Drosophila melanogaster: one gene and its partner. The protein of the gene in region 2 purifies or fractionates together with the protein of the main gene of each other region. This does not show direct contact. Each region holds a gene or a part of one and is shown on either strand. Other genes may lie near its edges. The genes, in order: ImpL2 and Ilp4.

Region 1 (3,949 bases), 5.6 Mb from region 2:
GCTTTAAGTTCTGATTCCCATGGGTGGTTATTAATTGGGAGATTGGTTATGGATTACAAAATTAATTCGTTCGAATGAATTCGAAACCATGGAGTTTTAATTAATGGTTTTGACAACTACAGTGCTAATTCAGTAAGCTAAACGAATAATATACGGTTGATACTTTGCACTTCGTCGAAATGATTCATGAATATTAACAGAGTAGTGTGAAGCACCTTTATATGTAGGGTTAATTAATTTTACTTACATGTGATAGAAAGTCATAGGATCTCGAACACTGTTGTATGTTCTCAACAACTTGCATAAGATGACAATGTTAATTGTCAAGATCGAAATGAAATGGTATATGGGCTGGAAAGTCATTGAGCTATCCTTGTGAGACACCTCAGTTTCCAAACCACCAACTCTGGACTGCGGACGCAATTAGGCGGTGGAAAGACAGATCCCGAGGCGGATAATCGAACCCCCCGTCCGGTTATATCTGTTTTGTTCCGCACCTTCCCGGTGCGGCGGTCGCATAAAGAATTACGATCCGAGAACGAGCAGAGAGAGAGCGGCGAGTGAGTGAGAGTGTGTGTGTGTGTGTCTGTTGTCTGTGTGTGTGTGTGAGTGAGCCGGCGTCGCATATAAATGGAACAGCGCTGCGGCCACCAATTCAGTTCTGTTACAGTTTCCAGCTGTTGAACACGACTTTTGAGAGCCGCCGAAGCCAACTGATCCGAAGTTAACTAAGCCGATCCGCGATCCTCGCTTTTCAATTCGCCGTGAACCGCATTCGCAGCAGCAATCCCCCCCAAAAACCAAAAACCAACACACCTTGACTCGAGTGTAATGTCGATGAACCGTGCGTATTCAAACGAGTGCCGCGCCAACCAGACAACCATCAAGAAGTACCAGACCAAGTCCACGTCCACATCGAAGGAGCACTGATACCGCCACGAGGATCGAATGTGCCAAAGTAGTCAGCTAGATATTCGCTACGCCGCCTGAGATTAACACGCTTCCGCTACCCAATTACTCGATCCTTATCCCGATCCTGAAGCGCCACTCCCGAGCACAGCACCCAGACGTTTCAATACGATCCATCCTCGTCGCCCAAGACAGACCGGCAAGCAGCCAAGATTCCACCAACACTGAGCTGCACGACCTCCAAGACGGCATCCAGCGCCGGACCTATGTCAGTGCTAAGCCAGCTGCTGCTCAACTTCAACCAGAAAGCCCAGACCAGGAGCCATCACAACATAGAGCTGATAAATTCGTTCATAACATAACGATAAGCCGACCTGCTTCTGCTTTACCTGATCTATCATCGTCCAACGTTGGGGAGAAATTTGCAAACATTTTTTACCGGAAGAGAAAAAAGAAATCAAATCAAAGGGTGAGTAATGTGCGTTAACAATAGATAGGTGATTGCCGCCGAACGCAGTTTCGTGTTCCGTTTTTCGTTTGTTTTTTTTTTTTCAAAATTCGAATTCGTAGAAATGCCCAAAGATACAAAAATCACCGTCGAAGGGCAAAGACCGTCTGATGCAACATTCGCCAGCGATTGGCGAATGACTTTTTGTGGGGCTACTACTAATTCATACATACAAGCGTATGTACATACATAATACCCTCGAAACTATTTGAATAATTAATCGGTCACGCAGTTTGTCCAGTCTAGACTATGGGGACACATTGGCCCTTGATCTGCGGCTGAAGCGTGGGTGAGTGTGTGAATCCGAATCGGGCTGTAGAATTCGAATTTAAATTGACGTCACACTCCGCGAGTCATTCCGTTTTCCGTTTTCGATTTCTGCCTCTGATTCGGCCCACGCAAGAATCTTATATCATTTTCTTTTGTCAATTCTTGTTGTCTGGTGACGTGTCATTGTGAAATACATTCATCTACGTTTGGACCGAGCACATCTCTTAGGGGCCGGAAAAGGATTCCGAATCTAAATTCCGGACTCCGAGAGCCATTAGCACATTTCGCAAGTGTTAGTAATGTTCTAGAGCCCGCCGACTGAAGGCCTTGCGTTCTTATCGGGGAAATAGACTCGGAGACCTCCCCTGATTAATGGAGGCGGTGATGAGTGGGGGAAGTGGGGTGGTGGGGTGGTGGGGGGATGCATGACTGGCTGAAAAGTCGGGCTAATCGCATCACGTTGCTCTGGGGTTTAATAACCTATATTAGAGTCGTACGAGTGCCGCTGTTGAACTTTGAACTCACTTCCGATTTCCACTCTCTCTATCGATCTTGCAGAAAATGAATTTACATGTGTGCGCCTTAGCGCTGCTGCTGTTCGGCAGCATCGCCACTGTCCGCGGAAGAGCCGTGGACCTGGTAGACGATAGCAACGACGTGGATAACTCCATCGAGGCGGAGGAGGAGAAGCCACGCAACCGAGCCTTCGAAGCCGACTGGCTCAAGTTCACCAAGACGCCGCCGACGAAGCTGCAGCAGGCCGATGGAGCCACCATCGAGATCGTTTGCGAGATGATGGGCTCCCAAGTGCCCAGCATCCAGTGGGTGGTGGGTCACCTGCCCCGCTCGGAGCTCGATGATCTGGACTCCAACCAGGTTGCCGAAGAGGCGCCCAGTGCCATTGTGCGCGTCCGATCGTCGCATATCATCGACCACGTGCTGAGCGAGGCCCGCACCTACACGTGTGTGGGACGCACTGGCTCCAAGACCATCTATGCCAGCACTGTGGTGCATCCTCCTCGCTCCTCTCGTCTGACGCCGGAGAAGACCTACCCGGGTGCCCAGAAACCGCGAATCATCTACACCGAGAAGACGCATCTGGACCTCATGGGCTCCAACATTCAGCTGCCCTGCCGCGTGCACGCCCGTCCCCGCGCCGAGATCACCTGGTTGAATAACGAGAACAAGGAGATCGTCCAAGGACATCGCCACAGGGTGCTGGCCAACGGCGATCTTCTGATCTCCGAGATCAAGTGGGAGGATATGGGCAACTACAAGTGCATAGCCCGCAACGTCGTCGGAAAGGATACCGCCGATACCTTCGTGTATCCCGTACTTGTAAGTATTCCCCTACCCGCCGGGTTATACCAACTCATCCTAAGTAATCCCTACGTATTTTTCTTGTCCTTGCAGAATGAGGAAGACTAAAGATCCTACCACCAAATAAAAAACAAAAGGCTATTGGATTGACGACGGAAATTCATCTAGTTAGTTAGATAGATCAAATGCCTTCGAAGATGCGTGAAAAGAAATGAAATATGCTTAGAAAAAATACAAAAAAAAAAAAATCAAAAAAAAATATGATGGATCAAAAGGTCATACGATTTACAATTATGTACAATTTAGATTAAGCACAATCTAGCTCGTAGTCCAGGTAATTAACCGTATCTAATGCCGGCTTAGACACTAATTTTCCCACTTATTATCCTCGAATATCAGTCACATTTAGAGCATTCGAATTATAGCACCTACTTTATGGTTTTCTTCAATTATAGCTTTAGTTATCGGCTTGTAATCACGCTTCTTTGGTTCTTTGTAAGTAGCAATGATTGTTCCTAGCGATTCAGGCAGCACTAGTTAACGTATTTAAACTAATTGGCCGTTTACTTAAGGGCACTGCAGCCCAAGAAGCACTTATGACTCGTGGCACAAGCCACAGTCAATCAACCAATCAATCAGTCAATCACCCACCCAATTCGTATTTATGTGCACCCATCATTTCTACAACTAATTTATTGATCGACCAAATTCATTCAGCATCGCCACCCATACAGAATCACTGAATAGTATTCACGGAATTAATCAGTTTCATAAGCTACCCGACTATGTTTTAATTTATAAGGTAATAGAACTGAAATATGTTTTTCTAATTGTTTAGTGTTAGTTTTAATCCAACCTTCAAGCGATTGTTTTTGAATAAATACAAGAAAATTGAAACAAAAGTACTCAATGGGCTGAATGGGTGAATAAAACGAGCAGCTA
Region 2 (3,438 bases):
ATGATACTTTCAAAACTACTTAAATTCTTTAAATTAACACAAAAGCCATTACGTTTTAACAACACTTTTAGAGCTTATTTCATTCCCATTCAATTAAAAACGAGTGCCAACTTATTCAATTGCTTTTGAGTGGAAAACAATAAAGTCGCCTTCTGTTATCTCATTATCTTGGCTCAGTACCTTCGATACTTTATGGTTTCCCCAAGTCCCTTTTGCCAATGATAAGCCAACTGAGCCTTTTTTCCGTCCGCAAAAAAACAGGTATTAGTATAGATTTTTACCTGTAAGAACGGAATTATTATCATTTCAAAACCCTTCGGTTGAATAGAGTGTTATCTTCGGAAAATCCCGCTACTGATTGGAAGTTGTTTTCTAGTTTTGATATCGCTCCTTCGATAATAACAAAAATTATGGATAAAAAGGAAGCTGTAAATTCGAATCTGAGTGTATTACCGAGTTCGTTTTGTCTCCACCTTTTGTTTTGCTTATTAAAATCAGAACGTCATCTAATTAAAAATTCATATTTTTCATTATTGTTCTCGGAAAACAAGGGCACCGCACTCGAGGTGCTGAATGGCAGCTGCTTGTGGGTGGCTCGATGGTTTGGGTGGCTTCGGGTGGTTTGAATAACAAGGGGATTCCCCATGCCTCACAGCTGGAATGCTGCAGGGCGTAGAATGTAGAAAAAAGCAATGGACTCTTCTTTTGTTTCTGCTGCTGCTTGGAGAGTAACTTTATTTGCCTCCACTAGAAATTTTACAATGAAATATTTGGAAATACGATTACGTTTATAGTTAGGGGTTAAGTGTAGTAGGAAAATGAATTGCAAATAGCCTGCCGGTCGTCGGGTGTTTTCCCCGTGCCGCCACACAAAATCTCAGCCATGTCGTGTTCATCTGGTACTTGGTTTTTGGGATCTGGTTTCTGGTTTTTATTTGTTTTGTTTTGCCATCCTGGTCATCAGGCGCAGTAGTCCAGTATATCGTCGTAGGTGCAGCCCTCCTTGCAACACTCGTGGGCGATGCGTCGCCGATGGCGTCGCAACTTTCGTCCACTTCCGACGGCCGGTGGCACACCCTTCTCCGTATCCGCATCCGTATGCTTCTGCTTTAACCTTCCCGTTTCCGTTTCCTGTTCAATGTCCTCATCCGGCTGCTGTAGCTTACGGATAAGGTCTCGCACTCTAGCATCCTTAGACGCTTGTCGAAAAGAAGTTAGATGTATGGAAGCCAATCGAATATGCATAGTACCCAAACTTACCACTGCTCCGCCTGACACGGCGTGTAAATCCATTAACACAAATCACATCCAGTGCCTGGATCAGAGCCTCGCCGCACATCTTTCGGCGTCCCTGGACCGGCTGCAGTAACTGCGACACGGTGGCCAGCAGGAGCAGCAGCGCCAGTCCCAGTCTAATCAGGCTCATCCTGCTCGATCTTTCACTCCGCCGTCCGTGCTCTCACCGGGCATAAAAGGTATGCCTCCTTTATCTCTGGTATCTCTGGGTCCTATCTCGAACTTCTCGTGCTCTTGGCAAACCGATCGCTGGGCATGCCAAATGATACTGATCCTTGGAGTTGGCCGGCGCTCAAAATGTTGACTCGCTAATTGACTTTTTGACTTCACGTATTGCGACCAGGTAGAAAGTTAAATTCGGGCCAGGTCAGTCAACCAACCAAACAGTCAGCTGCAGGAGATTTCCATTTGAACTACCAGGTTTTTCTTATTTTTGTCGCTCGACCAGCCGGCGGGAAAATGCCCCGCGAAAGGAAATGGCCTTTCCCGGCCAGGAATTGCCCGACTTAACCAAAGTCAAAGTCTAATCTCGATCCTTACTTTACGAAGGGGAAATACATACGAAATTGCTCAGGACATAAAAATTTGTTGTGTAAAACTGGGATATAGATTAAACTTTTCTTAGCAAATAAAACAACAACTTTTACATATATCTATGGGTATTTAACTAACACATTTACTTGATTCTACTTGTTTGTTGACAGGCTACTTCTGGCACATTAGTGACCTCCACCTTGACACACTCTACTCCACGCAGGGCGACATATACAGAAGCTGCTGGGAGTTAGCACGATCGGTTTCCGGCTCCAATGCCAATAGTGCGGCATCGGAGCCACCTGGTCCCTTTGGACACTACAACTGCGATAGTCCTTGGAGACTGATTGAATCGGCGGTGAAGACGATGAAGGCCAAGCAGGGCGATAATGTGGAGTTCGTTCTGTGGACAGGAGATGCCCTATCCCATTCGGCTCAGCCGCTCTCCGAGCAGAAGCAGCACGAAATCCTGCGAAATATTACAGAACTGCTCGGACGCAGCTTCTCCTCGCAGTTCATATTTCCGGTCTTGGGTCACGAGGACGGCAGTGGCAGCTATCGCAGATTGGGCGAATTGTGGCGGCACTGGCTTCCCTCCGAGGCTCTGGTGACCTTCGATCAGGGCGGCTACTATTCCATCGAACAGACCAAGAGTCGTCTGCGCATTGTGGCTCTAAATACGAATTTCATGCGACTTGATCCCGATCCGGATCCAAGGGCATCGCTAAGTTTACGATGGCCAGCTGAATATTTTGCCGAGCCCAAGGCATCCGTGAGCTCCATATCGGCAGAGGATGAGCTGCTGGCGGAGCAGCAGTGGCTCTGGCTGGAGGAGGTGCTCACCAAGTCCAAAGAGAAACAGGAAACGGTAGGAGTAACTATTTTAAACAGTATATAGTTGGAAAAATAGTAATGTAATTTAAAATCAGCTTTTTTTATGTTAATATTAATTAATTCTCATTTCAATCTACTAATATCAGAATGTGTCAACAACCCATATTTACAGATAAATTAATGAACTCATTATTTTTATACTTCGAAGTTGTTATGAAATTATTGATAAACTAAACTCGCTTTATTTTTGCACTTTTTTAACGTAAATTAAATTAAATTTCACAAAATTTAAGGCCACAGTTTAATGTTTGCTGCTCGTAAAGCCAATTTTTTTTTCATAAAATTAACGAGATAACGCGACGAATATGTAAATATTCAATATTTTTGTCTTACCTTGACCCTTGCATATCGCATGCCAGTAAATCCAATCGGATAGCCAACTGCCCTTTTGATTAATTATCATATTTAATTTGCAACAAGAAGGATTGATTTCATATCATTCGCCGCTTGGATTAAATGAACCGAATCCGTTTACTCATTGTCCCAACCAGGTATACATCGTTGGCCACATGCCACCAGGTGTTGATGAACGTCACCTGGGCACCCAGCACAACCAGTTGACTTTCACGGAGCGCAATAACCAACGTTACCTGGACATGGTCCGCCGCTTTGCGCCGGTCATCCAGGGTCAGTTCTTCGGACACCTACACTCGGACACCTTCCGTCTGATCTACGATGCCAAAGGTTAAGTACTAGTCTGACCATTTCTACAGC

Evidence for each region.
Region 1: the proteins of Ilp4 (region 2) and ImpL2 purify together in Drosophila melanogaster (affinity purification with western blotting, with the first as the bait; one study listed by BioGRID). This does not show direct contact.

The regions. Positions count from the first base shown.
Region 1 is NT_037436.4:4,224,003-4,227,951, reverse strand, and holds ImpL2 (Ecdysone-inducible gene L2), read left to right. Parts: upstream 1-2,001; 5' UTR 2,002-2,059; coding exon 2,060-2,068; intron 2,069-2,245; coding exon 2,246-3,025; intron 3,026-3,100; coding exon 3,101-3,115; 3' UTR 3,116-3,242; downstream 3,243-3,949. Other genes in the region: CG46460 (uncharacterized protein), read left to right, coding at 1,176-1,271. UniProt on the Drosophila melanogaster protein: Essential developmental role during embryogenesis, in particular the normal development of the nervous system. May be involved in some aspect of cell adhesion.
Region 2 is NT_037436.4:9,802,688-9,806,125, forward strand, and holds Ilp4 (Insulin-like peptide 4), read right to left. Parts: upstream 1,577-3,438; 5' UTR 1,427-1,576; coding exon 1,261-1,426; intron 1,200-1,260; coding exon 961-1,199; 3' UTR 712-960; downstream 1-711. Other genes in the region: CG32052 (uncharacterized protein), read left to right, coding at 2,001-2,698, 3,216-3,408. UniProt on the Drosophila melanogaster protein: Possible ligand of InR/insulin-like receptor.